Linked DNA regions of Drosophila melanogaster. The protein of the gene in region 1 purifies or fractionates together with the protein of each later gene. This does not show direct contact. Each region holds a gene or a part of one and is shown in the gene's direction. Other genes may lie near its edges.

Region 1 (9,418 bases):
GTCTGTGTGCGTCCCAGTGAAGGCATTTCTCCCCGGCACAGGGTTTTCGAAAGCTAAAGTGCGGCGAAACTTACTGCCAAAGCAAAGGCAATTGGATTTCGACTTTTTCTTAGCTAAAGCTAAAACTAAATATTTTATTCATATGCCTTAAAAACAATATCCTCTTTGGTGTTAGGCGTTAAATTACTTTTAAAACTCCCCGCCTTCATCTGTATTTTCAAAACTAAAAGTATTTTATTGGTATATTCAGTAAACTCAGGTCACACTGCCGAACAGCTGATCGACTCGAAGGTTTTGTTTTTATTTTTGCAAGGGCTGTTTCTTATCATTGAGTTAACCAATTGTAAGAACAATAACTACTATTTATCTGTACTTATATATAAAGAATATTATTCATCTCGCATTTTTTAGTTAAATGCTAAGACGCACAATGGCGGAATTCGACGTCAAAGCCGGCCTGCAGCACGTGTTGAAGCGCATAGACGAGGTGCTCCTCCAGCGGCCCAAAGTAAGTTAACTTAAGACCCACTTATTAATGACCTCTTAAATGAAAAACTTTATCTCTCGCACAGGAAGTTCAAGCTGCCAGGCCGCTGCTCGTTGCTGTAAGCAAAACAAAGCCAGCGGAGGCCGTAATCGAGGCTTACGAGGGCGGACAAAGAGACTTCGGTGAGAACTATGTACAGGAGCTGGAGGAGAAGAGCCGCCACCCGGACATTCTGGCCAAGTGCCCCGACATCAGGTGGCACTTCATAGGCCACATGCAAAGCAACAAGATCAACAAGGTCAATTGGATAACCAAGATCGGATAACAGCGTTTATCTCTTATCAGCACCTCTCTTTATCTTATTGATCTCATTGTTTATTTAGATCCTTTCTGTGCCAAATCTGCATATGATCCAGACCGTAGATAGCGAGAAGTTGGCCACCAAACTGGACGCAGCCTGGTCTAAGCGACAGCCCACCCCTGAGGAGCCATTGCAGGTGCTCATCCAGATCAACACTAGTGGTGAAGACGGTGAGTCTCACGCCCCCAAACTAGCGACCTTATACTTACTTTCCTAAATCGACCTCTAGTTAAAAGCGGAATAGAGGCGAAAGATGCTCCTGCACTCTACCAGTACATCAAGAGCAACCTTAAACACCTCAACCTGATGGGCATAATGACCATTGGTGCATTTGGTTTTGACTACAGCAATGGACCCAATCCGGATTTCGTGTCCCTAATGCAGGTGCACAGATCCATATGTGAGGCGCACTCCTTGGCCCCGGACTCGGTGCTCGTCTCCATGGGAATGTCCAACGACTTCGACAAGGCGGTAAGCTACAAACCGACTGAGCAAGTTCCGTCTCTAAAATCGAAACTATTCCCTCAGATCGAAATGGGCAGCACAGTGGTGCGCGTTGGCTCTTCTATTTTCGGCCATCGGGCGGCCAAGGTGTAAGAAGGGGAGCGGAGCAGAGATGTGATAGGAATGCGTTGCGGGCACTGAATACAGCCGATTCCCAATGACGTCCGACCTCACGACTGAGCACCTCCAAGTTCGCTCATGTATCAGGTGGAACTGGGTATATTCACACAGACTAACGTAGTAAATCAGCAAATCAAAGATGATTTGGCGTTTAAATTTAGAAACCCTTGAGATAAACAAATGTTATGTGTAGGCTGTTATTTGCCTTATTTAATTGTTAACCCTTTATAAACAATGCTTCCAAAGTGTCAAAACCATTAATATTCCCAGAAACATTCTGCACCTTGGAAAATTGAATACATTTGCCGCAGTTTTCATTAGTTTTAACATTCCTTCGACTGCGTCTTGCTCGTTTTTTGCACTTTGTTCTATTTTTACATTCGCGTATATTCAATGCTACTTTGCGTATTAGATTGTGGGCAGTTTTCCTCTATATCTTCTTGTTTTGGTTGGCCCCAGGCCAAAATGTCGCCTGGTTACGTGCCAAAATGGCTGCGCCATGAGAGTTTTCGCCGAAAATCACTTTCAATGGAGCACGAAGATGACTGCAGCCTAAATCGATTTTCATTATGTCTGATCGATGAATTATGAAGGCTTTCTCGCACGGATCCCATCGTTAATTGAGATATTTTCCGTTTCATAAATTTGCATAGAGCCTTCATTAATTATAATATTAGCCAGCGAGGGTAATGAATTCAGGTGGCAAAGATGACCTCATGTAAATATTGTTTTGAAAAATGTTTTGGCTTATTTCCTTCAGAAAGCAAAAAGTCGAATAATTTGCAGAATGAATATTTCTAAAAAAAATAGATGTAAACTATATGAATAATAATATTTTGTAACACTTGAAACTAAATTGAAATTTCCTGCTTATTTGGAAAACTAAAAATGTGTAAATAAGGCTTTGAGAATCCAATTTGTCGATTGAAGTTGTCACAATTTTACTATTTATTTACTGAAATGGCTTAAATAGCTTGAATACTGCAGTGTTTAATATTTTTAGTAACAAGGTTAATGTATCATGACGTGGTACCCAAAGTTTATCTGAAATGGAAATCCTACAGCCTTCCCATTGTTATGCAATGTCCATGGATGACTAGCATATAGATAAAGTCAGATGTTTATTCCACATTTGTTGCCGAAATAACTCTGGTCCAATATCGGGTTCGTTGGATATTTATGCGACACGAAATCCGCCCGATCGCCGTGTATGTATATACAGATCTATAGATTTGGAATTCTCGGCGCTCTTCATATTGCACAATGTGCGGGGCATTTCGAAAACAGAAAAAGGAACGTAGGCGAGCAAAACATCGAGTATATAGGCGTGAATAGAATACATACATATGCTATATGTTGGCATATATGTATGCTGTCCGCCGCCAAGGAAAATGTAGGTGATTTCAGCGCAAGAGGACACCTTTCGGAGGTGGCCTCTGGCAGAGAGACGCACCGAGTAGTGAAGCAGAGCAAAATAAAAGAAAACAAAACAGAATCCGAGGATGGGGAAATGTATCCACAACAGAGAGCCGCTATATGAACCAATCCGAATCGCCCCGAAATAAATTCCGAACATATGTATAGGCTTCTGCTGCCCAAAAGCCAAAGCCAAAGCAATTTCTCTGCCTTTAAAATTAGATTTTTGATTAGAGCAGCGCCCGATGGATGAGTAAACACCTCGGATACAGCTACACCATAGGCTATAGGCTATAGCCATGGCTATATCTATATAGTTGTAGCTGCCCGCCCCCGCCGATCTCCTGGGCGGACCTCGCCTTGCAGATACTAAAAAAGGCAGCACGAATATTGCAGATACGGATACAGCGAATGGCGCCCGAAGATCCCCGAAGGTGGCCGAACCTCCACGAGCGGCCCCAATGCTTGGAAGAAGAAGAGCTCCTCCGAGCTCTTAAAACATCATTGTCTTGGCGATAAAATCAGCCAGAGATTCAGTGTGCTCTGACGGCTCGACTCGATTAGACAACACATCAAAGTTCAGCACCATGGTAAGGACTCGTCCCGGAATATCACTACAATCCAACTGAACCGAACTGAACCGAACCGAATCGAACTGGACCCCAGTGCCTGGATATATGCAGCAAGGATAATGCCGATCAGTGCAGTGAATCGTTTGCATTCGAGAATGACCCCGAGGATATGAATATGAAGTGAACCATAACTCTAAATCATGGTGATCCCGATTCACCTTCTTCACATACGCAGTGAGAATAGTGCAGAAAGTTCTATAAATGGATCGATCCGATCCGAGTGTTACGCGTCAGTAATGTAATCTGATATCCGTGCCGGGGAGCGAGCGAGACAGCGAGTGGCGCACGGCGGAGAGCTTACGTAATATGCGTCCGGTATATTTTTAGAATGAGTGGAAAACTTTCGCCTGCAGATACATATTTTCTGGCCTAGTCGGGTAGGCCTTTTGAAAAGCATACCTTACATCCCTTAAATCCCTATTAAGGGATAACTTTCTACCCATATAATTCCAATTGAAGATCCTTCAACGCGGATAACTTACTAAGATCCCTAAAACGAATAGTATAACTTCCGGAATCGGAACTTTCAAGTGACAGCTAAAGACGGACTATAACGACTAATGACCGAGTAGATACCCCCTTTCTGCCACGAGTCCCTACTAATAAATCCCTCTTTTCTCTCCTCAGGCCGATGAGAAGAAGAAGGTTAAGAAGAAGAAGACCAAGGAAGAGGGTGGTACTTCCGAAACCGCTTCTGAGGCCGCATCCGAGGCAGCAACCCCGGCACCAGCTGCCACTCCTGCCCCGGCCGCATCTGCCACTGGTTCGAAGAGAGCGTCGGGCGGATCCCGTGGCTCCAGGAAGTCGAAGCGCGCTGGCTCCTCGGTCTTCTCTGTGTTCTCCCAGAAGCAGATCGCCGAGTTCAAGGAGGTGAGTTTTGGGCGTTACTCATATATCGCATCATATGTCGGATCACTCGAGACCCATCCCATCATCCTGTCATCCTACCATCTATCGCACTTGTCAAGGACCAAGTCACCAACACACTCTTTCTTTCTATCTCTCTCTGTCTCTGTGCGGGATCGATAGGCCTTCCAACTCATGGATGCCGACAAGGACGGTATTATTGGCAAGAACGATCTGCGCGCTGCCTTCGACTCCGTCGGCAAGATCGCCAACGACAAGGAGTTGGACGCCATGCTGGGCGAGGCCTCGGGTCCGATCAACTTCACCCAGTTGCTGACCCTGTTCGCCAACCGCATGGCCACCTCCGGTGCCAACGATGAAGACGAAGTTGTTATTGCTGCCTTCAAAACATTCGATAACGATGGTCTCATCGACGGTGACAAATTCCGCGAAATGCTCATGAACTTCGGTGACAAGTTCACCATGAAGGAGGTTGATGATGCCTACGATCAGATGGTGATCGACGACAAGAACCAGATCGATACCGCCGCCCTGATCGAGATGCTCACCGGCAAGGGTGAAGAGGAGGAGGAGGAGGCCGCCTAAGGCACATCCGATCACATCCTAACTTCTAACTCAACATCCATTTTACAGCCAGAATCAGAACGTTAAATCAATCAGTCAAATCAGTAATAATAAACGTAATTAAAAGAAACGCTCGTTTACATATGTAGATTCTCAGTATCTTGTAATCTCTTTTGTTAACCATCACCAAGTACCTTGTACCAAGAACAACACCACCAACCAGATCAGCAACATCCGATCAAACTGAACCTCAAAAGAACTTCTTCAGCAACATTTGGTAGCGATCAGAACCATTTACCATGTATCTGTCCATCATAGTTAGGGATACTTACGATCACGTTCACTGTCACGGCAAGAACTGACGCGTAGTTTTCTAGTTGATTTACTGTTAAATTTTACACGTAAAATTTATAAAACATATGCTATCTATTTTATTTAAAACACCTATAAAATCAACAAAAAAAACTTAAAAACAACAAACAAGCCGTGTCTATTTTTATATCGCTGTCCGTTGAAGAACTAAAGAGAAGAACCCCCAGAGAGAGATGATTACCAGATCGAGATCGAGATCGGAATCGAAATGAGGATGTATGATGTATGATTTATGATGTAGGGAGGACGAAGACGATGTTGATGGGTAGCCGGGCTGTATTCGTTAGCCCTGCACCCGCGAGTTCAATTTGATTATGAATATGAATTTTAGCCAGTTTTGTGAGTTACAATGTTTTTCGTTCAAGAAATCTCGCAGGACCAGGAGAGAGAGAGGTAAACCCATAACAAACTATTGTTAGGGATCATTTAACTGAGAGCCAAATATATATCCTACTATCACAAAATATTTATCGTTATACATATCTATCGTTCGTTACTTACTTATTTATCAGTTATGAGTTATCAATATTATTGCAAGTTATCGAGAGTTAGGCTAATAACAGAGAAACATTAAGTTCATTCACTCAAATTGTTTAATGCGAATTTATATAACTTAACCATCGCCACCACCACAACTTTCTGCTTATGAACTATCAGCGATATAAACCACCCAAACGAACAAACAACCCAAAATGATATCTGAAATATGAAGAAACATTCAAATAACAAACCCAGTGTTTCTAGTTAATGCGTTTTGAAGCTTCCAGGATGATACGCCTCCCCGGGAAATAGACGGTCGGGGGGGTTTTAGTTTGAATAAGGTGCCCATAACCACTAGTACCTAGGCTGATCGGAGGAAGCACAATATATTGCCTTATTTATCTAATACTACTATTACTCAGAACTCAACACTTGACACTCGACACGAGCACACACCACACTCACACGCACACTGCAATCCATTTCAAAGTGCAACATGCAACAAGTTGTTAAATGCAAATCGAATCTTTACTTCAGTATATTTTAAGCTACACACGGCAAGATGAAAAAATTCAGAAAACTTTTAACCCGGTCAGGAATATTAACAAGAGTAAAACAAAAAACATCTAAAAATAGAAAACAAGTAACTGTTTTTATACAACATAACTAGATGATGATACGATGACGAAGTCTTGGAATAAAGCAAAAGAGAGTCGTCTTGAAAAAAAAACACAAAGCCATTGAAGTTTGATTTGCTCAGGGAAGGGGTTTTTTGGGGGTATGTAGTACCTTACTGCATATCTGACTCAGCTGAGCCGTGCCGGAAACCAGTTCCAGGTCAAAACAAAACCACCGATAAAGCTGGGGAGCTGAACGAAGCTGTGGAGCGCAGTGGGAAACTCCCCACACTTGGCCAAGACGATGGCCAAAACCGAACACGAACCTTCGAGCGACCAGTTGTCAGTCGAGTTTCGAGGCGCACGCATGCGCACTACGATGTGAAAGTCAGCCACGCTTGTCATTGCCACATCCATTCCGAACAGCGCTTTTCGAATAATCTGGTTACTCAGGGCGTAAGTAGAACCAGAACCATGGCTCCAGGTGGACGACAGCTTTTGTGGATGGCTTCCATCTGCTGGATTGCATCACTAATGAGTGGAGGTGAGTGCTGGGAATCGATTGCATTGTATGCAGATATTGCGTGGCCAAAGAAATCGAAAGTATCTCAGTTTGAGTCTGGAATATCTCACCACACTCTCGAGTGCACTGCAAGAAAAGTGATATACATTTGGGGCGAACTAAGCCCTTATCCTATGCTGTATACTTTGCTTCGAAAGTAAACTAACCTTTTATTTCCAACACTATATTTTATGCATATAATTATATTATTCATTCATATTTCTCTCTCTGCGCCTATGAGATATCTCACCTTACTAATGAACACTCCACTCTCACTATCGTTTTTGTGCCTCTCAGCTGATGCACAGCATCTGATCGCTTATATCTCGCAAAGAGGTCTTCATGGAGAGATCACTTTTCGGCAAATGAATGCCACCACGGTGGAGATCAAGGCCAACCTGGAGGCCACTTTGCAGTACCCCGACCAAGTATGGAGTTGGGGAGTACGTCGCTTCCCCGTGGACTACTCCAATATTGACCCAGACGAACGCTGCGAACTGAGTCGTTTGGGCTCCCAGGTCCTGTCCTTTGACGAGGACTTGGAGTACCTGGTACTGCCCGGAAATGAGACCTCCAGCTGGGAGCGAAACATGCAGTTGATTGGGGATCGGGGAATCTGGGGGAAGTCCCTGGTTCTGACAGAGGTCAACGCTAATGCACGGATCTGTGCCACCATCACCACCATCCAGAGTTCCGTGGAGCACATGGCAGAGGCTCGTTTTAATACTCCTGTCGCTGGATCTGTCCATTTCCGCTGGCTGGCCCCGGCGGAGGGAGCTGTTGGAGATACTCTAATCTACTCGGATCTTTACCATATTAGGGCGCAACCAGCTGCTCTGGAGGAAGATAGAAGTCAAGCTGGACCGTTCACCCAGCACCACTGGAAGATCTATGTGACGGACATTTTCAAACATGACCACCATCGCACGGAGGACAACTGCAACTTCCTGCAGCAAGTTTTCGATCCCCAAGGAAGTGGAGCTGGCAAGGGAATAGGTGATCTGGACGCACGCCTAGGCAGGATTGGAGTGGCCAAGAATGCCCTTCGTTCGCCACAACGCAGCGTTTTTAGGGATGCTCAGTTGGCCCTGCTGCCCTCGGATCTTACCATTCCCCATAGAACTCTTTACCTGGTTCTTTTTGACAACCAACATCCAGATTCGTACCTCGCGTGCACCAAGATTCGCCATGTCCAACCTTTGACACATAAGTGAGTGGTTTTTACAACCCATTCTATTTGAAAGTATAACCATTTTTTTTTTGTTAACCGCAGAACTTTCATCAACTCTGGTGGTGTCAAGGGAGAGGTTACCTTCATGCAGCGCTCCAAGTTCGACCCAACTTTCCTCAATTTCACCTTGGGAGCACCGCTTTCCCAGCATGTCAGTCGCAAGTTCGCCGAAGATGTGGCCGCCTTTCGGATTCACAGTCTGCCGCCGGTGCCTTCGAGGATGGGTCACGAGGACTACTGCCTGACCACTGGGGACATGCATAATCCCCGGGAGATAAACGAGAATATACCCCCACCCGGTTATGGAACCCAGGAGCAGTATCCCGTGGGCGATCTCTCCGGGAAGCTACAGGGTCGCAATAAAGGTTATTGGCATCAGTATGTCTTACCAGGAACGAGCTCCGAGTTGAATGGCCTCTACTGGGACGTATTTCTGCCCCTTCAAGGACGTTATAGCATTGCCCAAAGAAGTCTGGTCATATACACTTTCAATCGATCTAATGTCACAAATATTACGAAGATGATTTGGGGCTGTTCGAGCCTAAGTCAATATCAACGAAATGGAATCTACCAGCAGAACATGGTTACTGCTCAGGTTGGTAGATAAAATAGTATTTCATGCTAAGTATTTTAATATTTGTGCTTATATCTTAGGTCCTTTTCCGCTATCCTGTGGTGGGTCGAGTCATATTCCGGCAGACGGCGGAGCAGCCTTGGCAGGATACTACCGTTTTATTTGAGTACCTCATCCAGGCGGATGGATCCACGCAGAATACTACCCACGATCATCGTTGGGCAATCCACAGCAATGCACCTGGAAAGGACTTCTATGACTGGCAACAGAGATGCATTTCCGCAGGACCTGTATATAATCCATTCCGAGTGGATTGGGGCAATCGCAGTGTGGATGACTTCTGCCGACCCAGTTTAGCCTCCATGTGCAGAGTGGGTGCTATGGATGCCAGATCGGGAACCCTAACCATCGCTGGAGGCAGAAGAGTTGCCCAGAAAATAAGTAGGAAGATGTTTGTAGACGGCAATCTTCCGCTCTCCGGAAGACATAGTATCCTGGGTAAGTCTCTTGTTATCTATGAGGATAGTGGACCCAAAGCCAGAGGAGAGCGATTGGCTTGTTCGGCCGTGATTGGACATTTCCGGAGGAAAGTGGTGGCCAAGGAGTGGTACGCAAATGGAGATTCGTTGAC
Region 2 (7,394 bases), on another chromosome or scaffold:
AAGTCTTTCTTTTCGCCAGCTGCAGGATAAGCCGACTCGTCGATATGTGGCATAAAGATTACACAGAGGTGCGATACCAAGCTGAGAATGTTATAAACTTAAACGTTTATTAAAAATTCCGAGCGCACAGCAAAATATCCACAGCATCATGACAATAATGCGAACGAAAGCAGCGCGTTTGCTGCTGATTTTCGCAGCTTGAGATTTTCCATTTTTCCCATCATCGGGCTGGGTGCTTCGACGGCTTCCCCCCCGTTTGGGTTTTTCAATTTCTTACAGAACGAGCACTGCATTCCTTCACCTGGCCCGTCTTTGATGCGTTATATGACAGGGGGATAGGAGGATAGGAGGATTGGAGGTTTCGAGGTCTCGAGCAGCAGCAGCTACAGTTCGGTCGGAGTTCCATATGAACTCCGCATCCCAGCCACTGACTTGTCCCTCAACCGAATTGAACTTGTCACAAAAGAATTCATTTTGCAGAGCTCGGAATTTTTCAGCAGTTTCGGGATGCGGCGACGGTTTCGGAAAATGTGCGTTGAAAAGCTTTGTAAGCTTTGCTTGACTGTTGGCCCGTCCCTATACTTTTCCCCTCCTTTTGTGTTTCGCACATTGTCCCTTATCCAACGCTCCATCGGTTCTGGGTTCGTTAACTGGAATTCAATAAATATTACTAAAACACTCGCATACGCATTGGCAATCGCCTTTTTCTTTTGCGTTTTTATTGGGATGTCAAAGGGAGACAAGAGCGGATTCCAAGAAAAGAACAAAAAACGGCCAGTGCAGACATTTTCACATAATTTCCCCCACTTGTGATCCATTTTTAGGGCCTCCACTCGTATTCCCGGTGGCCAAGTACATTTTGGCTTATTTTATGACGCGTTTTGTTACCAAAACGAAAATTTTTGGTAATACCAAGACATTTAATTGCCTAATTGTTTTGTTTTTGGCATTTTATTGCAGACGGGTCGGTTTTTATGGAGCAAACCCAGCACGCTACTTTTTTTTATGACTTAATTACTTAAATGCGTTTTATTTTGCATGCGGCCATAATCGTAAACAAATTATAGAAGTGGAAATTATGATATCTTTCCCAGTTTTAATGCGTGCCTTGGGGAAAAAAGATTGCCCATTGGATTGTAGCATACTTTTTATACATATTATTTGTAGCACTAAGTCTACAGCAATTAAAAAATGAGACATTATAAAATTTAATCCCAACGTAAATAGTTCAAAACCTACCTATCTTTAGCAAATAGGCCACTATATTTACACAAGTTTTTAGCTTACGTTTCATCTTTTCATCAGCAAATAGTATTCAATGTTCCGCGCTGGCACTGGGCCTCATTATAATTTAAATTAACTGAATTTGCTTTATTTGATTTAAGTGGCTTAGTGTTCCACTGCCTTTGTGGTCCATTGAGAATGTTCTGCTCCAGTTGTGGAAGAGCCAAGGACGCTGGATGGGGCCTTTCTGTATTTATTAGCCAACGCTGGGTTTTGACCCTAAAGGGTGCCTATCTTATCCCATCTGGTGGTGGCTCTGGTTTCCTTTCGGCCATCTCTTTTTATTTTCTGAAATTAATGCGGCAAACACTAATTAATTGCGCAGGTGTTGCAGCTGTTCCGTAGCTCTCTTGTTGTTGCTTCCGGTGTTGTTATTGCATGGGATAAGCCTAATTGAATTTCTGTAGCTTTTTGCTAGGCTTGCGGAATTGGGAGCTGGAGGTCCTATCTCGCCATTGGTTATAATTAATTACACAGCTGCCATTATAGGATACCGCTTGCATTTATTATCTTTAAATTATTGATTTTCATCAGATATGTAGAGAAACAACTGCCACAATTACCGATTTCCAGTTATTAACTGAATTGGTATTATTAACTTTTAGTGAGAGCTGAATATATTTTATTATAAACCTTGCTTTCCTTTTCTAATCTGTTGGTCTAAATAAAACTTCTGGTTCTAGTCCAAATGATTTATGAAAATTGCAACTTTAGTAAGCGCTGACCGTAATCAAATTCACGCTTTGCACTTATTTAATTGTTCTCCTTTTTAATTTCCCATAGCTAATAAATTGACTTTTATGACCGGTCATGAGAAGCTCGTAAAATTTGCATATGACTTCTAGCCGAGCTTTTGCCTTTAAGTTGGGGTTCTTCAACGGTTGACGGCATTATTATTATGTCAACGTAATGTTGTCGTCAAATAGTTTTTCGCGTGACATTTGCATTTCAGTTCAACTGAGCTGAGCTGAGTTGAGTTGAGTTGAGCCCTCGGGTCCGATGACATTTCATTAGCCGTTACCAGTTCTTCGGGCACACATATTTAATAACGTGTGCCATTGTTTTTCATTGTCGTTTTATGTGCTGTTTATATTTTTATGGCATGCCATATAGTATTTAATATTTATATTATATATGAGTCGCATGCGACATTCATTCCCGTTCTATCATGTCTACGATAAAACAGTTTTATTCCTTTCCACTACAGGAAACTTTTGGGGACAGCGAACTTCTTCACCAGGTGGAAAAGCTGGAAAAGTTGAATAGGCTACCTCCACCTCCTTGAACTGAAATCAAACTACTTGAGGAGTCAGCCACCGCTTCGTGTTTGCAGTTATTATTGTCTATAAATCGTTGGAAGGTCTCCGATAGGAGCTGTGGGGCATTATACACGATGACATTATGAATTTATTACTATTTAAATATTTTACTTTTGTTATGGCCCTGGCAGGCGACGATGGGCCGCAATAATCGTTCTGACATTTGTTTTCCCTGGCGTGCGTAACTATTTACCAGTTCGCTCCGGTAACTTCGTCTCCGAAAGTCCAGGGGGTGACCCAGGCACCGGTATATAGTTTGAGTAGGTCATGAATTATCGATGCTGTCAGCAGTAAATATTGATAAAATATATGAGGCAAAGTTCTGGCACGTAGGCATCAACTTTGGTAGCTGCCTCTATTACCATAATTAAATAATTCGGGCAGTTAGCCGACTTAAACGGTTCCGCTTAAAACTCATGCATAAATATATACATATATATACATACATCAGCAAATTACCCGAATGTCACTTTAATTGTTAATCAGCTAGACACATCTGTGCCACAAATTAATCTGCAAACCAGTTTAGTTTGATCGCACGGACTTGAGATTTTGAGAGTCATCTGAATATTTGGACTTTGATAACCGCACTTGACTTCAGACTTTGGAAAAAACCAACAAAACAATAAAAATAGGTAGGAGAACAACTGACAAAGTTAAAACAGGTTTGACGAATCAGACGTTCGTCATTAATTTTATCATGTAATATCAGACTTATTTCAAAAAAAGGGTCTATTAACAAAATTATTTAATTATTAATAATGGCATTAGAATCACCAAGAAATAATTTGTTGCGGTAATGAGGTAGCCTTATTAATATGAGACAAATTTTATAATGGTGGTATTAATAGATATATTTTGGTTATAAGGGTTATATATAGGGAATGAAGAAATATATTTAAGCGCAGACCTTATATAAGGCTTACAAATAATTCGAGCATCTCATGGCCTCCGTTAACTTATATTAAATTTTAAGTGTTACTAAAAATTTTTGTAAGTAATATAAAATGTTGCTTTTATATTCTATTCTCTAAAACTCCCCTATCATGCTTTGCATGCACTTTGTTTTAACACCTCCATAAAAATCAACGTTAGATTGTATTTCAAGTTTAAGGTTTTGGAGTTACGTGTATTGTTAAATCAAATTAGTTGACGTTGACGCTTCGCTGGGCACTCTGACCCTTGGGAAGTACAACACACTTTTAATCGGTGGAAAATCTGAAACTACAATTAGCACTTACATTATGGCTTTGAAGCGATTTTAGCCTAATAATAAGCCCGAGTCTGGGGCATTAGGGCCAATTATAGGTACAATGGAAAGCCGCAGTGAACTTGCTTCATTTACTGATTCGAGTATCTGTTGAACTTTAAACCGAAATGGTAAAAAAAAGTGAGTCAGTTTCGGGTTATCAACAAGATCGGAGAGGGTTTAAGTAAACTAACCGGTGTATTGCCGTGTGTATGTGTAATAATTGCTTATACAGTGTGATCAGCGGAGTAGAGCGAAAACAAAAAGCGATAATCAAAACAAAACTCTGACGAAGCTGCATGCAAAATCGTATAAAAGGCAGATGCTAACAGAATAAATTCAACAGTTTCGATACCAAAGGGTTTCCAACAACATCTCTACCGAAAATGAAGTTCCTGATTGTCCTCTCCGTCATTTTGGCCATTTCGGCTGCTGTGAGTTACAAATAGTTTCTGATTTAAAGGGGTAGTATTGCTAAGTGTATCTTTTGAATATATCTTATAGGAGCTGCAACTATCCGATGAGCAGAAGGCTGTGGCCCATGCCAATGGCGCCCTTTGTGCCCAGCAGGAGGGAATCACCAAGGATCAGGCGATCGCCTTGCGAAACGGCAATTTCGATGACAGTGACCCCAAGGTGAAATGCTTCGCCAATTGTTTCTTGGAGAAAATCGGATTCCTGATCAATGGTGAGGTCCAGCCCGATGTCGTTCTGGCCAAGTTGGGACCCCTGGCCGGCGAGGATGCCGTGAAGGCCGTTCAGGCCAAGTGTGATGCCACCAAGGGAGCGGATAAGTGCGATACTGCCTATCAGCTATTCGAGTGCTACTACAAGAATCGCGCCCACATCTAAGCGCCAAATCTCCGATATTCTCCTGTGTGATAATCTGTCTGTGACTTGTTACTTATATTGTTTTAATTCAGTATATCAATTCGTAAACAAAATTTTTAGATCTGTAAATGTTTTGAATAATAAACTCAAGAATATATTTCGTTTTTAAAAAAAAACTTGACAAGAAACCTTTGCGAGACTATGTTCCAAATAGAAGATCATGCTTAAAGCTTTTACATAACTCTCCTAGAATCTCACTTGGCATTTGTTAATATTTTAAATATTAATGTTAAACGTTTGATCAAATAACTTTTTAGCTGTCCAACAAAAACTTAAAGGAACCTTCCAGGAAAATAACTTACGTAAACCCCTAACAGAGAACGCCTTTTATTGTGTCTCAAAGGAAATTAAGGTGAAATTCTTATACATAATTACTTATGCATATTCGACTTGTCAATGGATGCTCCACTGTATGACCCATTTGCGTTTTGGCCGCGTACCCATTTGCATAACAGTGGGCCGTCATTAAGGACCAACCACTGTCAGACCGTCGTCAGGGGCTTAAGTCCCTGGTACAGAGCGGCGATCCCAGAGGCATTTGGCCGCTCATGTTTGGCATAAATATTGATGAGCGACGGCAAACTTATTGGCACAAAGACCTGGGATCCCGGCGATACAGGATGCGTTGGGGTTCGAGCAAATGAATTGGACACGGGGAGCCGTGTTTTTAAAAGCCCAAATCCAATTAACAAATCATTAAACATTCATTGAGCACGTGTCGCAATTGCATTTACTGGTTCAACATGGATCAGGTGGCATCGGAGGGAACAATTGTTCCGACTTTGGCTTTGACTTTGGCTTTTGGGGAGTTTGGATCGCAGCCAGGGTCCATAATTCATTTTGTCACTTCCTGGGGTCGGTCTGGCTGTAATGTCACTTCCATTTAGCATCCGTTTCAGTTGCAGTTGTCTGCACAAGAGCTGATGGCCGATGGCCGATGGCCTTCCCGGCCAACCGAACAAACAATCACTGATGCGTTTACTAATGTCTATTAAAAAGGCAGCCCAATCGAAGGATTCCACCCCCCCGAGCTAATGCATTTAAGTAGACAGCCATGGCGGCTTGTCAAAGGAGCCAACACGCGTGAGATGGTAGCACATTGATGCTCGACATCAGCCTTTGTCTTGGCCGTCTTGTTTGACTTGTCTTGCTCCCGTTAGTTGGCTTTCAATGGCCAAGGACCAAGGATATCGCTGGAGTTGGGGTTGAGTGCTGATGCTTTGAAGGGGGAGGCTTTCCCTGCGGTTCTCACATTAATGTAATTTAATTTTATAAAAACTTCGCTGCAGGGTGGCTGCCACTTGCTTGTTTCATGCTCCGATGTCTCTCGCTTTTTGTCCGTCCATGTGAAGTTTCTTTGATCTTAAAGACCAATATGTGATGTGGCTGGGGATGCTGCGGTTGTGTTTCCGATTATCAGCAGAAGTCTGTTATTAAGTCCGTCAATTAGAGTGGTCCAAAGAAAGAAGGAGTTCAAGTAAACCAGTTGCTGTGGCTTGAACTAATGTGATTGAATTTGTTTGCAATACAACTAGACTAGTAAGGAATATAATAATTTTATCTTAGAAGGAAAACGTGTTCTATGTACTATCATTTTTCCGCATACAGCTTGTAACCACTTCCATAATCTAATTAAAACTTCTGGTTGTATTTTTTTATGTTTCCACAACTACAACAAGAAAAACCCACATTGCTTGCAAAAACAAATTAGTCAAAAATTACAATGATTATTTTAATTGAAATTGCCAACAATGGTTGTACCGTTTTTAAAACACCTTTATAGAGCAGTACTTAAATGTTTTGTAGATTCATCTACCAAATTGAACCTGAAACTTTTTGCAAACCTTTTTGTATTTGTGCAATTATAGAGACCATTAAATAAGTCAGATGAGTGTTTTTGGCGAATGCTAATTTGAGTTCTCACCCAAAAATGCTATTGGCAATCCACTGATGCATGACACATTATATGCGATGTATCTGAATATGATTACCTGATGGGCCTAGCAAGTGAGGCATGAACATGATTTGGCAATCGATTTGAGCGACAATTAAATAGCAATTTAAACCGATTTCCATAAAGACGACTCTATAAAAGGCTTTTGTTAAATCGCAACAGGCTCTATAGTTGAAAAGTTTTTATAGTAAATCGTCAAACAAATTTTAAAAATATTTCTTAGATGTATTTTCGAGCCAGTTTGATGGCATTGCTTTGCCTCACTCTTAGTGAATTCGTTTCTAAAGCATGGGTAATGTTTTTCATATTTTATATATCTTTTGTAAATTCGACTTATGTAGTACTTGGAATTATATGTTTTATATTTACAAGGTAAATATTAAAAAAGGGAAGTGAATCAAATTTTCTTACAACTAAAAAGACATATTGGAATACATAGAGACAATATATAATTTTTACAAAAATACATTTCATCCACAGACCCGATCGCTTTCCGTCTCGCTGAACATGTCGATGACACGAACCCTGGTTCCAGATCCGCCAAATGGAACAGAAAACAAACTCAGCCAGGAGATGCTGAGGGCTTGTATGCGTAGGACCGAGATCTCAATGTCGCAACTGAAACTCTTTCACATGAGCCTGATGAACAGCGACTACAATAATGACAACGATATAGCCCCTACGCCAGTTCAATCCA
Region 3 (8,627 bases), on another chromosome or scaffold:
ACTGAATGGAATCATGTTAAGTCAGAGGATAATCCAGCAGATTTAGCATCCAGGGGAGTGGATTCTAACCAGTTGATCAACTGTGATTTTTGGTGGAAAGGTCCGAAATGGCTAGCAGACCCAAAAGAACTTTGGCCTCGGCAGCAGTCTGTAGAAGAACCTGTCTTAATAAATACGGTATTAAATGACAAAATAGATGATCCTATTTACGAATTAATAGAAAGGTATTCCAGTATAGAAAAACTTATACGTATAATAGCATACATAAATAGATTCGTGCAGATGAAAACAAGAAATAAAGCCTATTCATCAATTATTTCAGTAAAGGAGATAAGAATAGCGGAAACAGTTGTTATTAAGAAACAACAAGAATACCAGTTTAGGCAAGAGATAAAGTGCCTTAAAATCAAAAAGGAAATCAAGACAAATAATAAAATATTGTCATTGAATCCATTTTTGGACAAGGATGGGGTTCTAAGAGTTGGAGGAAGATTGCAAAATTCCAATGCAGAATTTAATGTTAAACATCCAATCATTTTAGAAAAATGCCACCTAACAAGCTTATTAATAAAAAATGCTCATAAGGAAACATTGCATGGAGGGATAAACCTAATGCGAAACTATATCCAAAGAAAGTATTGGATTTTCGGGTTGAAAAATTCGTTGAAAAAGTATTTAAGAGAATGTGTAACGTGTGCAAGGTATAAACAAAATACAGCTCAGCAAATAATGGGTAACTTGCCAAAATATAGAGTGACGATGACATTCCCGTTTCTTAATACTGGAATAGATTACGCAGGTCCTTATTATGTTAAATGTTCAAAAAATCGTGGCCAAAAAACATTTAAAGGATACGTTGCTGTATTCGTTTGCATGGCCACCAAAGCCATACACTTAGAAATGGTAAGCGATCTAACTTCAGACGCATTTTTAGCAGCACTCAGAAGATTTATTGCTAGACGGGGAAAATGTTCCAATATCTATTCAGACAACGGAACAAATTTTGTAGGAGCTGCAAGAAAATTAGATCAAGAGTTATTTAATGCAATACAAGAAAATATAACGATTGCAGCGCAGCTTGAAAAGGACAGGATTGATTGGCATTTTATTCCCCCGGCAGGACCTCATTTCGGAGGTATTTGGGAAGCTGGAGTTAAGTCAATGAAATACCATTTAAAGCGTATAATCGGCGACACTATTTTGACTTACGAAGAAATGTCAACTCTTTTATGTCAAATAGAAGCATGCTTAAATTCAAGGCCATTATACACTATAGTTAGTGAGAAGGACCAACAAGAAGTTTTAACACCAGGTCATTTTTTAATTGGAAGACCACCTTTAGAAATAGTCGAACCAATGGAAGATGAAAAAATCGGAAATTTGGATAGGTGGAGACTTATCCAAAAAATAAAGAAAGATTTCTGGGTTAAGTGGAAAAGTGAATATTTGCATACGCTCCAGCAAAGGAATAAATGGAAAAAGGAAATTCCTAATATAGAAGAAGGGCAAATAGTTTTATTAAAGGATGAGAATTGTCATCCTGCAAGATGGCCTTTAGGAAAGGTGGAAAAGGTGCATAAGGGGAATGATGATAAGGTCCGAGTGGCTAAAGTAAAGATGCAGGAAGGATATATCACTAGACCCATTACTAAAATTTGTCCCTTGGAAGGAATAAAGTCTGTTGACAAAAATGAGGCTGACCAAGAGCCAAAAAGACGAACTAGAGCGACATCGGGAATGTCCAAGATCGGAATCATTATGGCAATGTTGTTGTTTGTGTTAAGTTGTCAAGTTTCTAGCGCATTACCTAAAGATATAGCACCAAGATATTCTATAGACAAAATAAATAAAACCTCAGCAATATATCTAGACCCGCTAGGAGATGTTGAGATTGTGAGTACTTCTTGGAATTTGGTTATCTATTATAAAATGGATCCATATTTTAAAATGTTAACAAAGGGTAATGCGCTTATACAAAGTATGAGGAAAGTTTGCGAAAGACTTCATAGCTTTGAAGAGCAATGTAGTCTAGTCTTAGATAATATGCAAAGTCAGTTATCGGAACTTGAAGAAAACAATAAATTGTTTATGATGCAGTCTAGATCTAGAAGCAAGCGTGCTCCTTTCGAATTTATGGGTTCCTTGTATCATATTTTATTTGGTATAATGGATGAAGATGATAGAGAGCAATTAGAAGAAAATATGAAGAATTTGTTAGATAACCAGAACAACCTTGATAAACTAATTCAAAAACAAACATCTGTGGTTGATTCAACTTCTAATCTATTAAAGAGAACAACAGAAGATGTTAACTCCAATTTTAGAAGTATGCAAATAAGAATTGAGAACATGACAGAAGTTCTTAAAGAAAATTATTATGTTTATAAGGAATCAATAAAATTCTTTATGATTACGAAACAGCTACACTCATTGATTGAAGAAGGCGAAAAAATTCAAGCAGGCATTATAAGCCTGTTGATTGATATTAATCACGGTAGGCTAAATACAAATATTCTCAGGCCAAATCAGCTTAAAAAAGAAATTGCCAAAATTCAGCAGAGTCTTTCAGAGAACCTAGTAATTCCAGGAAAACGGTCAGGTACGGAACTTAAGGAGGTGTATACACTGTTAACAGCCAGGGGTTTATTCATCGACGATAAATTGATCATTAGTGCAAAAGTGCCTCTGTTTAGCAGGCATCCATCCAAATTGTTCAGGCTTATTCCGGTGCCAATTCGAAATGAAGATCGGATAATAATGGTGCATACAACGTCCGAATATTTAATTTATAATTTTGAGATAGATTCCTATCACATAATGACGGAAGCCACATTAAATCAATGTCAGAAATGGCAACTAAATAAGAGAATATGCAAAGGAAGTTGGCCCTGGAATTCAGCGAATGATAATGCATGTGAGATTCAGCCTCTAAAGCCAGATAAAGCGGCGAACTGCATCTATAAAACAGTAGTCGACTCTAAAAGTTACTGGGTAGAGTTAGAAAAGAAAAGTAGTTGGTTGTTTAAGGTTCCTGCGAATTCAAAAGTCCGTCTGCAATGTACTGGCTCTCAAATTGAATTGTTTGATTTGCCTCAGCAAGGAGTTTTAAGCATTGCGCCATATTGTACGGCAAGAACCGACGATAAAATTCTAGTTGCCCACCATAACATTCAGTCCGAAAGTGAAGAATTATTATCAACACCTTATATAGGAGAAGTTAGTGGAGTGCCGAAGATTATTTGGGATCCGCTGAAACTATCAATATTAAATCATACTGAGGAATTTGAACGATTGAATAATGAAATTAAATTTATGAAAGAGAACCATCAAAAATTGAAAGATTTACATTTCCATCATATTTCCGGACATGCTGGATTAATTATTGCTTTAATACTAATGATAGTATTAATAATATATTTCATACGGAAATGTGCTGTGCAACAAAGAATGCAAGCAATAACCTTTGCAGGTCCGTTGCCAGTACTATAAATATCAATAGTAAATAAACAATAAAATAATATAACAAATAAAAATATACAGTCCACTAATAGAAAATGTACTTCTACATAGAAAAAGCAAAATGTTTAAAATAAGTTAATTAAGTACAAATTGTTGAATTAAAAATAATATAAACCATAATTGTAATCCAATAAAATTAAAAGCCAGAAAAACTAGGCCCATTGAAATCTTAGTTGCAAAATAAATGAACATATATCAAATAAATACAGTCCACTACTGTTATAAATGCAACTAATATACTAATGTACATCTCAGCTTTGCTGGCCCTTTGGCAGAATGTTCACACATGAACACGAATATATTTAAAGACTTACAATTTTGGGCTCCGTTCATATCTTATGTAAATGAATCGAGAGCGATAAATTATATTTAGGATTTTGTTATCTAAGGCGACATGGGTGCATTGCTCAAAAACATGTAATTTAAGTGCACACTACATGAGTCAGTCACTTGAGATCGTTCCCCGCCTCCTAAAATAGTCCCTTAGTGGGAGACCACAGATAAGGTCCTCGCCGCTCAAGATAGGCAGATGTGCCCGAGCGTGGGACCTCGATAAGGCGGGGACTATTTACGTAGGCCTCTGCGTAGGCCATTTACTTTAAGATGCGATTCTCATGTCACCTATTTAAACCGAAGATATTTCCAAATAAAATCAGTTTTCTTACAAAAACTCAACGAGTAAAGTCTTCTTATTTGGGATTTTACAATGTCTTTGACTGTATATCGGACCAAATTACCGGCTACTGTCTGGATCAATACAGCAGATATTAGTCTCTGTCTAGTGTGCGTAGCAATTAAATGGTTTAGTGCAAGTTGAATTCCAGTTTTTGTGTCAGGCCGCGACTATTGCGACTATTCCTGAGAAAAACAATGTAGGTGGCTTCAAACATTGTTGGAAATTACTAAACATATGTTTCTCGCTTTTCTTTTGAAAATTTCGTTTCAATGTTTCTTAAATAACTTGATATGATTTCACGGATATTCAAAATGGAAAAGTGTCAAGCAGAAGTCAACCCAATCGTGGTTACAAAAAAATAATAATAATAAAATAATAATAATAATAATAATATCTTGAACCTATATTATTAAATTAAAGGTATCAAATGGTTTAAGTAGATTACGGAAAAATTTTGAATTCTTTACATATTACTTACAGACTTTTTACATCGCGCCTTTCATGATCTTCCACAGTGGCGCCATCTGCAGTCGCATAGGAATAAGCTCTGTATGCTAGTGTTACCGCTCACCAAAACTGTAAAAATAATCGATATCTGGCACAAAACGATAGCGTTTCGATATGTTTGAGAGTCCAGGCCGTGCGCTAGCATTAACAGTCCCACCACTAACGCAAAAGTTTTCGGCTGTAAAAACGTAAATATTTAAACTTTAAGCAAGTTTAGTGTAAAAATAATCAAATCATGTGCGTTAATTTGCAAAAAGTCTGCGGGGCTATGGTCCATTTAGACTTAGTACTGGATTCAGCGGAAAACTCGCATTTCGCGTGCTTTTCACTTGTCCCACATTCGAGGTCCGCTTTTGCATCATGTGGAATTCCAGGAATTACCATCATCGTTTCAGCGATCAATGAGACACTGCCGCGTGTTCCCCTTTCTAAAAAGTGCATTTAGCAGGCATTTGATTGGTATTTTCCAACGTTTTTCCCCATTTAATTTCAAGGACTGTTCTTATATAATTGGAAAAGTGCAGGTGGGCGTCTCGTCGGCGGAAAAGCGCTTGCGCCGGCCGCCCCAAATGAAAAGTGAAATTTCGCAATGCAAAACAAGCGACGTCGGCGACGTCACATGTGGTTTTTTGTAAAATTAACTTGCCGCATTGATGACGCAATTGACCGAGTGCCGCGTGTGCTTTTCTCCCCGCCGCCCAATGAATCATCAATCAAAAGCAATGGCAATAGCAACAGCAAACCGCAAAGAAAGCGCGCGGCCGCATTGTCTGGGGCAGCACAACTAGTTATTTTTTTCTGCTGACGGATGTGGATCATCTGCCACAACCTATCATAAGTCGGCTGCAAAGGCCCCAGATCGGGAATAGTAACCACAAAAGTATTATAGTACTACGGAACCTCTACCTCCCCCTCGCACCCCGCTCCGCAATTACTTCATGCCCTTGGACCGCTCTTCTTCTTCTTCGCCTAGAGGGGGCTCGTCCAGGGTTTTTTTTTAATGGAATGCAAAACCCCACTGAGTGCGTCTCTCTTGCCTTCTTATACCCTTTTATAGGGTATCATGGCAATTTAATGTTTTACGCCAACTACGATAATAGCTTTTATTCAGTCTTAGACTAATTGGTACACTGATATCTACATAGTTATCATTCGATAGTCAAATTACCATTTCCGCTATTTTTTAGAGCAACATTAAAATTTACATTTTGCCACAAAAACCAAATAATAGTTTTTTATATAACTTTCTACATTATACATTTTTTTCGATAGAAAGTTAAACTATTAAATACTATAAAATACAACAATTCTAAAATAACTAAGAGTATCTAATGATCGGTGCCTCTTGAGTGTTCATTAATTTCGCACTCGCATCAAGGTAAATGGTTGTGTCTGGTGTGTGAACTTGAAACTTTATTGATTAGCGGAAAGGTAATTGATACACGCACAAATTCACTTGCGCTTGACCTATTAAATGCACTGTGAAAAATATGTTAAGAAATTGTTAAGATGTGATTCTGGATAGTGTACCAAATTTAATTTGAGTTGAGAAATCTTTTAGATATACAAACATTTTGTATTTTAATATTGTTTCTCGTTGTCTTTGGTATTATGTGATAAACAAGTTCTATGAATGTATTATACATTTTATTTTTTTGTGTATATCATACCGCTTTTTCTCTCCTCTCGTTTTTGGCTGTGTGGGCGGCATTCTTTGAAATGCCGGCTGACGAACGGACTTTGGGATTGTTGTAAACAAATTCGGGCTATAAATACGCAAGACATGGGCAACAACCAGGAGGCGAGGCGGTTAGATAAACGGAGGAAGTGCGGTCAATATGTAGATACATGAGTATGTACCTGACTGTTATCAGGTCCACCGATCGGCGACCGACCCAACCCCCTTTTGCCAGAAGATAAAGATACAACGCCGAGTTGTCATGTGGCCGCTTTGTGTGTTTTTATCACACACACACTCTGTATTTTTCTTCCAAGCTTGCAGCCCGCTCGGCGGTTCGTGAAGAGCAAATTCGATTTCTAAATTTTATATTTCACTCTCGAAGGCGGCCGCTTTTGTATTTTCGCTTCAGTCGACGCGCAGCACTCAGCACGAACAAACGTTTGACGCGTATCTGCGAGATACGGATACGAGTACGACGAGTACATATATTCGGTTGGTTTTTGGAGCAATCGCATGCAGTATATGCGTATATATTATACGGTGTCTTGATTCATTCCACCGCGGTGCAGTGCATATACAGTCGGAACTAGACCTTCCACCGACCGAAAGCCTAATGGATTTTTCCAGTCATGCTTCGAATTGTGGAACTGCAAGCTCATCCGTCGGACTATTTCACACTAATTAGCTCCATCATCTGGCCGTTCTAATAACTCAGCTGCTCTCACGCGAGCAGCTCTTCGTTTTTTTATTTTTTGCACTTATGTAATGTGTTTTCGTAACATCGACGTCGAGCAGAATATAATTGCAGGGAAAGCAGTATGTGAAAAGCGCCAGCACAAAACAAGCAAACAGATAAATGACACTGAAAGAAAATGTCGGGCTGCTAAATTGAATTATCTATTGTGGGGTGGACAATGTAACTGTAATTGTAGCTATGACCGAATCAAATAACCCGAGTGATGCACTTTCAAATACTTAGCTTTGACCACTCCAAACCGGTTAGCCGTTCCAATTGTTTTCTTTCATTTTTTGTGCTCTCATATCTGGGGGCCAGTATTTTGTAATCACTTCATTTGGATCGTCTGGCCAGCATGCGTTCGTCGATAAGACATGTGACCTGGCCACGCATTCGTTGCCCCATAAGTTCTCATTCCGAATTTCATTCAATTTGTACGTATTTTTTGCACGACTGGCTTTAGATAGGGATTCAATTACGACATCCGCACGCGCTAGCCTATCGCCAATAATTTGATTAATAACTTGACAAATTCTGGAAGTGCTGGCGTGGCATGACTGGAGGCCGGTTAAGCGCCCTCCTCTTATCACTGAATTGCGTCTAGAGGGTTCTGCGTTTAGTCATGGACCACAGGAATTTATAACTCCAAGCCAGGGACATTCGCTCTTGACGCCTTTGCGTTATCTGGGCAAACTCGTTTTGGGCCAAATACCCAGGTGAATGCTCACTGTGATTCGGAGACGGCAAACAAAAAGTGAGGGCAAATATTCACAACTGATTAAAAGTTGGGAAACGAACAAACTGCGCAAAAAGCAGCTGGCTCTCCCTATATAAAACCCCCCCATTTCACCATTATATTTGGGGGCCAAAGTATCTCCGCCATTTCTTGGCTGATTATCAAAAAAGCGAGCGACGGACTGGCGTATGGCATCACGTGTGCTTTTTTCCACCAAGCGATCCCCCGATCTCAACGGTCTAGTCTGGCTTTGGACGTATGTAAATTCCCCCCGCATCCATTCAATTGTGAACTTGTTTCGTGAGCGTGAGGGAATTTCATAACTGGCCCACTGGCCTGGCAACGAGTTCGGAACATTCGGTTGATCGGTGACACAGTTAAAACCCAGAACATGACCATGACGTAAAAACTTCTAGGCTATCTTATCGCGTTTACAGCAGCCGAGGGTCAGGAGTTCGGTGTTTAGGGGGTGGCACTGGCACTATCTTTTACGTGGCTTGTTTGTCAACAAAGCCGCCATCGATTAATCAGTTGGAAGTGATATAATAGTGGGCTGATAAGATCTTCACTAAGATTGTCTCTTTCTTTCAGTTCTATTTTGTAAAGCTACAAAATGCATAGAGCCCACACAGCCTTCAGCCTGGCCTTGTCGCCGATGGCGCACAAGAACTTCGCCACATGGCTGCTCAAGAGCAGCAGCAGTCAGCAGGTGAGTTTGGTCGATATAACCATAACTCCAAAGAAAACCCCAACTAATGAGCCCCCAATCTTT
Region 4 (7,366 bases), on another chromosome or scaffold:
GGGCCACATGCTTATGACTTTTTAAATGTGTTTGTGCTTTATCAATATAATTTGGTGTTTTGTGGCAATTTTCAAGCCGCCGATGGAGCCAGCCGATTGTGTCGGCTCAATATCTACGCTTATGTTTATGTGTGTTTGTGTTGCACCCTCGGCTGTAAATTCTTGTTAATACAGTCAAGCTTCTTTAAATGCATTTGGCTTAAGCTCGAAAAATATTTAGCAAATGGGATTAACATTTGAAATGTAAATAAGTTAATTGGTAATTTCTAAGGCTGAACTTTTAAATGTAGATCTTTCGTTAAGGACATACTATTTATGACTTATGTTGTGTTTTCCAATTGTAGAAGCTAGACTGTGGTAATTTGCGCAATCATTGACGCCCGCCGCCCCCTTTTCCTTGGTGAGAGGGGTGTGGCTTAGGGGGTGGTGGTCAGCTTAATGGTTGGCGGGAAAGGGGGAACGGGAAGCAGCACCCAAGGCAGAGATCTTCGAGCAGCTGGGCAGTGAAAGGCCAAAACCCGGAGCGGATCTACCACAGTGGGTATGGGTACTCCAATTCTGCCCGAGACTTGGGCTTGGGCGTCGACGTCTCTAGAGCAGAGTCTCTCGCGCCATTCGCCTCTCTGGCGCATTTTGATATATATTTTCTTGACTTGGGGGGCAGGTTTCGGTTTTGGATTTGGAAAAGCGAAGCAAAGTCCGCGCCGCGTTTTTCGTATATAAGTTGCCACAATTTGGTAGTCGAAATCAGAATCAACTCGTTCGCTGAGTATTCAACAAGCACTTCTCCTTCAACAACCCAACTTCAACACCCACCCCAAACAAACAACATGAAGGTGAGGACATTGGCAGGAGTGTTCTAAGATTTTCAAAAACTTTTTGAAAATTTTCAAGAGTTTCTACGAAATTATCCTGGTGATCTAACTAATTTCGGTAATTAATCCGTTTTCCAGTTCGCCGTTGCCGTAGTCATGTTCGTGTGCGCCCTGGCTGGAGCTCATGCCTCGTGGGCCCAGATCGCTCCCGGTGTGTCCTATGTGAGCCCCGTGGCCCATGGAGCCGGTCTGTGGAACGGAGCCTGGAATGGTGCCTGGAACGGTGCCTGGAACGGCGCCTGGAACGGTGCTCCCTGGGGTGCCCCTGCCGCCGTTGCCGTCCATGCCAGCGCTGCTCCCTGGGGTCTGACCGGTGCCGGATGGCACGGCGCTGCTGTTCCCGGAATCAACCTGGCCCAGGGACCCGGTCTCGCCGCCGGCCATGGCCATGAGGGCGTCTATGTGGCCAAGACCCGTGGTGCCATCCACACCGCTCCCCTCGCCGGACACATCAACTCTGCCACCTCCGTGAACGTGGCCCCTGCCCCCGGAACTCTGTAAGTCGGGAGTGACGGATAAACCATACCCAAACCGATGCCAAACGGAGCGGATGGATGGCAGTATCACTGATCTCCACCTGCTTCAGCGACTTCCCACGACTACTCCAACCGGATGAATACCCATCTCTCTCTGTACACTTATTGTTAAGCACACCGCTCTTAGTCCCAACCCCCTCGATACGAACACGATCCTGATCTTGGGTCCATGTCCATATCCTCTGGACATTTTCCAACGCACTCAGCAATATATAAGTCCAACAGCAATTACAACAACTACAACAAACCAACAAACGACAGCATGTTAATTTTCTTTTTTGAGAACTCTTTCAATACTTCCCATCTGCTATCCTGTCTTCCTCTTCTTTACATCTATCACTATATACTTCTTATATCTATCACTATCTGGCATATCGCCCTAGATATGCCCTGTCAACCTGTAAATATCCCATTGTAATCTAGTAATCTGCAACAATGTAAAGATTGACGAAAACGTTATAAATAAAAGCAATCAGCGTTTTTTATACGACATAAATATTGTGTTTTTGCAAAAATGGGGTTAAAAAAAAAGTTACTACTATCCAACTAAGGAGATTCTTCTTTAACAAAAGATAAAAGTACCTGTTAATGTATATTTTAGGTTTAATTTCATCTGAGGCATCATCTGAGGTTTGGACTTGTTTTTAAATACAATTCAATATATAATTAAGCTATGATTGCTAGATAGCTTAATACTTTTGTACGATATGCCAAGATGTTTAATGTTTTAATCTTTTACTTGGACAACCTCAAACAATCCCATATTGGAATGATTGTTTAGCTCTCATTAAATACATCTAGATCATAAACTGCATATTAGTTAATTATAACCTTGGGTCTTTAGTTTGCACCTGCTCGACCTTGAAAAGCCGACAAATTGTTCTATTGATTTCATATCTGCCAAGAATGTCTAGATCAAATGTGTCTTTGTCTTTAAGTGTCTATTATTATAGTGACAATCCTAATTTGCTTGGCAGTACTATCGGCCACAGCTGAACGGTAGTCAAGCTGGGGGCCAATGGTCATTAGATCGAGTTAATTGGTACAAAGCCAGATCATATGCACGTATTGGGCCACAGGGCGTATGCTTAATTATGCAAACGCTTAGCGCTAATTACAAATCGCACAAAGACCAAGTTTCAATTTTAGTCAGCACCTGGGCTTCTGGTATAGGAAAATAATTGGCACATGGAGTAAATTATAGTAGTCGCTAATTACAGATTATCATCGCACCGAAAGAATTCAACTTGAACTTTTTTGGTGTTTTTGGTGTCTCAGAGATTTTGCCAAGACTCGACAATCGATCTCACCCACATTAGCATCGAAACAAGTTTTTCCCCTCATGCAGTTTTTTTTGGGCATAATTGAATTGTCTTTGCTGGGTTCAATTTGCACTAAAGTCTGACTTAATTGCGGCACCTAATGGGTTTGCGATATATTTATGTGGGCTGTTCCGGGCTGCAGTAACCCACGCTCCAGACCCATTTCAGACAATTGAATGTTGCGCAATGTCGATTCCATTAGGTAATCGGAGGTGGAAATAATTAGGGAAATAGCCTGGAAAAGCGGATTAACCTGGAATGCCTTTCAGCTGTGTTAATTGCAAGTTTTGGTTAATTTATAGCCAACAAGCGGCTTATGCACACACGAATTTGTAGATGTCATGAAACGAATTGCAAACTTTTGTCTCTTGGATTCGAATTCTAAATAGTTACACTAGTCCAATTGATTATAATCTACTTTTTGTTATTCGGCTTAAAATTTTAATATTAACTCTTTAAAATATTAGAAACAGATTTATAGATCAGTTCTGTTCAAATGGAATAATATATTTCAGCTCTTAATTTTCCCATAATTATATTTCAATATCGATCGATAAAGTGGGCTGTTCCTCGCATATCATTAACCCTTAAGACACATAAATCAGATATTAGCCGGCCTTATACAGGATACGGATCGCTCCATAATTGGAATCGTGTTATAAATCATACTGAAATGCTAATCGCGCACAAACAACAATTAAGTAATTAAAGTGGCGGTGTGATGGAGTGAAAATCAACTTACCGGAACTGCAGCTGAAAAGTGGGTTGGGCCATTCACTTAGACAGTTGGACCCACATGGCCACGGAGATGGAAACACACTCACTGAGAATGCATTTTCTGTGGTGGTGCATGTTTGAGTGGTGCGGAAATAGAGGTTCACTACCGAGTTAGTTCATTTTTGAGAGGGTTATTGTTAAAAACCCCACCTTAAAGATACAAATTAGGTAACCTAACTTCTTGTCACAATCCTCTCTTCTTCATTTATTTTTTTATTCTTTAGAAAATAAATGTACGTATTTCGATTAGTACAATAAGCTAATAACAAAGTATTGTAGATGTAGAACTAGTTCTTGAATTCAACCGCTTTGAAGGCGTTCAACCTAGCCGTTTGATCCGATTCGATACGATACGATCCGTTCAGATCCGAGGCATGTCATTACAGCTGATCATATGCATGCGGAGCAGTGTCAGCCGTGTCCACCATGTCATGGTGTGTGAACTCTCACTTTCATGAACCCTCCGACTTGGCGGTTTTCTATTGCTGATGTGGTCAGCAGTTGGGTATAAAACTGGCCGGCAGCTCCGTTGACAGATCAGTTCAGAACAAGAGTTCAACCAGAGCGCAACCCAAAACCCACAAACAGCACCATGAAAGTGAGTTATCAAACGGATTTATCCTGATAATTAACAACAACATAGCTTGGATTAATATTAGTAATTCAACAAGGAAGTTTTACTCATAAGACTAAACAATATATTTTGCATTATACAGTTCGCCGTCGCCGTTATCTTCACCTTGGCCCTCGCCATGGGCGTGCAGTCGTCTGTGATCCCCCTGCTGTCCCAGGTGGCTGGACATGGACTGTCCTACACCGCCGTTTCCGGACCCGCTGTGGTGGCCTCTCCCTGGGCCGTTCCCGCCGCCCACTGGCCTGCTGCCGTGAACGTGGCTTCGTGGCCTCCGGCAGCGATCCACGCCGCCGCTCCTGCCGTGCTTGCTGCCCCTGCTCCCGCTGTGGTTGCTGCTCATGCTCCCTCAGTCGTCGTGGCCCCAGTGGCTCACAGTGGCGTCTACACTGCCCAGACCCGTGGTGCCATTCACACCGCTCCTCTGGCCGGACACATCCAGTCGGTGGCCTCCATCAATGCCGCTCCCGCACCCGGAACCTTGTAAGGAGTATACCGCCTTCAATCCCTTTGTCGATCGGACCATTGCCTCTGCCACGGATACTGCCATTGATGGGGAAGTCGAACTTTAGACCCCTCAACACGTTATGTAAATACATTGTATATATAGCCATATATAGACAGGGTACTCGCACCTAGCACCTGAACAGGATCCTTTCATACCTGTCCCGAAAAAAAGGAGTCATCAAAATTCTCTTCCGACCTAAGCACCCGGCCACGTTTGTGGTTGCCTATTTCTCTCGCTTACCTATTTATTTAGCATACATTTTCCAAGCATCCTGTGAAAAAACCATCACAAGTTTTCTTCGAACGGAATGCCAAGTGCATTCTGGAAGGAAATGCTTGTACATCTACATAATGCCAATAAAGAAAATGTAACTAAAGTATAAACGTTTTATTTTGGGAAATGTGTAAATAATATTGCGAAGTTGGGAATATTAAATACCCACATATAAATAAAATTGCGACAAATTAACATTATTGCTAACAAATCTTTGATGGTTCCTCATTATAATTTTTCCGCTTTACAGAACATTACATAATATATATTCTTCGTTTGATAAAGCTTTATTTAATGATAATGTAAGTATACAAAGTTTGTTTTGGTCAAGCCAAAATTAAAATAAATAGATGTTGCCTGACAAATTCCCACAGGCTCAATCTATTAGTATACAAAGCCCGTTCGCTCTCAATATATTATCATCGCATATTTACGCCTCCGAATACAATTAATTGACTCATTGCCTCAAATTGACACTACGCTGTTTGCATGCAACCCCTTCCTCCATAATAAAGTGTGATTAGAGCAAAGCCATCGGATCGAATGCTGAAATGTCAAGTTCATGCGCATGCGCAAAGTCCCCAACTGCGTTCAATGCGAAATCCAGCCACAAATCAAATGGAATCAACCCCGCACTTCCTTACCCCCTATATCTTTCGATTTGCTATAGCAGAGTCCAACTGTTGCGTGATTTTCCCCTCCCACTTAGCCAGCCCCTTTTTTTTATTTTTCCCACTTTGAGTTCCAACAGCGGTTTACAAAGTCTCGCGCTTGTTTTTCATGTTTCTAGTTTCGCTTTTGTTGCCGCATTTGGCCGTTGAATGAAATGCGTCAGTGTATCAATAACAGTCCCCGAACTTCCTTCAACTTTTTCTCACCACACCTCCTTTTAAATACACTGAAAAGAACTGTGAATAAAATTGATAAAAAATTTATTATTATTATTAAATATTATATAAGTGTATATGTAGATCAAACTTTTATGCTCTACCTCTAAAGTTCTGTAATTTCGGTAAAATATTTTATTTGTAATATTTTCCTAAAATGATTAAACGTTTTTTTTCTCTGCAATGTCTAGCGATTAAATCTGCTGTATTGAACTGACTGCAATGATTTATTGTACGCCGGCGGCCAAGAGTCAAGCGTCAATCGTGTCGACAGTCTCCCCTTACTTGGAGTCCGACTCGAAAATGGCAAGAAATTTCCTACTGGGCTTCGTTTTGGCAATAGCCGGTAATTGACCGGCAAAGAGAAAATCACACAGAAGTCGCAGGGGGTCAATACGAATTTGACGTACTCTTATGAACGTTCCTATATGCAATTTAGAAAATTGATCCGACATGGGTTAAATAATTACCACTTAATTTAATGTTATAATCGAAAGCAATTTGTTGGTAAAAAATCTTAATTCGAAGTCGATTTGACATACTGAGACTTAGCAAGCTAAATTTTCTTTTAAGTAATCAAAATTAATTTTGGTAGAATATGTTTAGTTTTAAAATATAAGAACATTTTAATATGTTCTGGTAATATTATTGGCCTTATTATTACTTAAACACATAGTCTATAAAATCTGTGTATCACTGATAGCTTATATGTTTTTTCAGACTTAATATAACTTCTTTCCAACACAGAGCATTTAGAAAATTGAACCACAGCTGTTGCTCTTTCTTTCTGTCACTCTTCGCATTTCTCCCGAAGAGTAAAAGTAGCACACAGCAGCGTCTGCGATAAGAGACAGCAGCAACATCTGCAGTAACACAGTAACAGCAACACTAGCAGCAACAGCAGCAACATTCGCATTCGCCTGACATTCGGCGACTATCTGGCTGTGTTTCTACTCTTCAGTTTTCAGTCGTTCGCTGGCAGACGTGCTGGCAACGTGCGTCGCAGTCGCAGCAGTTTCCGATTCGGGTTCAGATCGAGATTCGGGTTCGGATTAACACTCGCGCAGTGCCAGTTTTGCAGGGGTTTTGTGCGTGATTGGAAAACGTGTCGCCTGAAAGTAATAGAAAAGTGCACTGTTTGCAGGTGAATGCAAATGTGAGTTTCATATGGCTGAGATTACAAACGGACGATAAGGGAACATATTGAGTTTATGTGGCGCCAATATCACTATCTATGTATGCATTGTCTTCTTGACGGGCGGAAAATTGTGAAAATGGGTTGGAACTGCGATGGGAGGGCAAGGTACTGCCCACAGACTTGGCCAACACTTGAGACGCCAACTTTTTGCGTCTTTTGAACGCAAGCAAACAAACTGAGAGATAAAACATCCAAACGGTCGTCCTGTGGTCATTCCCATATTTAGTCCGTTCTTTAGGTATTTTATTAATGGTCCACAGAGGTCATAGACAAATTGTAAAGAATCAAGTTTACATTAATTTTCTTTATTTTAAAACTGTTAAATCCAATGTCATGGTTGTCTATGAATGCCAAACTAA

The links.
Region 2: the proteins of Mlc2 (region 1) and Obp56d purify together in Drosophila melanogaster (affinity purification with mass spectrometry, with the first as the bait; one large-scale study listed by BioGRID). This does not show direct contact.
Region 3: the proteins of Mlc2 (region 1) and Ogdh purify together in Drosophila melanogaster (affinity purification with mass spectrometry, with the first as the bait; one large-scale study listed by BioGRID). This does not show direct contact.
Region 4: the proteins of Mlc2 (region 1) and Acp1 purify together in Drosophila melanogaster (affinity purification with mass spectrometry, with the first as the bait; one large-scale study listed by BioGRID). This does not show direct contact.

What each region holds. Positions count from the first base shown.
Region 1 is NT_033777.3:30,168,544-30,177,961, reverse strand, and holds Mlc2 (myosin light chain 2), read left to right. Parts: upstream 1-3,410; 5' UTR 3,411-3,475; coding exon 3,476-3,478; intron 3,479-4,147; coding exon 4,148-4,390; intron 4,391-4,549; coding exon 4,550-4,972; 3' UTR 4,973-6,524; downstream 6,525-9,418. Other genes in the region: CG1983 (uncharacterized protein), read left to right, coding at 416-508, 573-785, 871-1,018, 1,078-1,319, 1,377-1,445; Rsod (uncharacterized protein), read left to right, coding at 6,895-6,964, 7,280-8,192, 8,256-8,808, 8,868-9,418.
Region 2 is NT_033778.4:19,700,595-19,707,988, reverse strand, and holds Obp56d (Odorant-binding protein 56d), read left to right. Parts: upstream 1-4,073; 5' UTR 4,074-4,238; coding exon 4,239-4,286; intron 4,287-4,356; coding exon 4,357-4,704; 3' UTR 4,705-5,065; downstream 5,066-7,394. Other genes in the region: Obp56c (Odorant-binding protein 56c), read left to right, coding at 6,921-7,019, 7,178-7,394.
Region 3 is NT_037436.4:16,950,653-16,959,279, forward strand, and holds the start of Ogdh (oxoglutarate dehydrogenase), read left to right. Parts: upstream 1-4,169; 5' UTR 4,170-4,227; coding exon of another isoform or gene 4,228-4,290; 5' UTR 4,291-4,391; intron 4,392-4,673; exon of another isoform or gene 4,674-4,675; 5' UTR 4,676-4,890; exon of another isoform or gene 4,891-4,939; intron 4,940-5,111; exon of another isoform or gene 5,112-5,161; intron 5,162-6,372; exon of another isoform or gene 6,373-7,037; intron 7,038-8,446; 5' UTR 8,447-8,468; coding exon 8,469-8,564; intron 8,565-8,627.
Region 4 is NT_033779.5:7,738,218-7,745,583, reverse strand, and holds Acp1 (adult cuticle protein 1), read left to right. Parts: upstream 1-4,046; 5' UTR 4,047-4,102; coding exon 4,103-4,108; intron 4,109-4,226; coding exon 4,227-4,628; 3' UTR 4,629-5,022; downstream 5,023-7,366. Other genes in the region: CG7214 (uncharacterized protein), read left to right, coding at 831-836, 954-1,376. UniProt on the Drosophila melanogaster protein: Component of the cuticle of the adult fruit fly. Could be involved in thickening of the hard adult cuticle.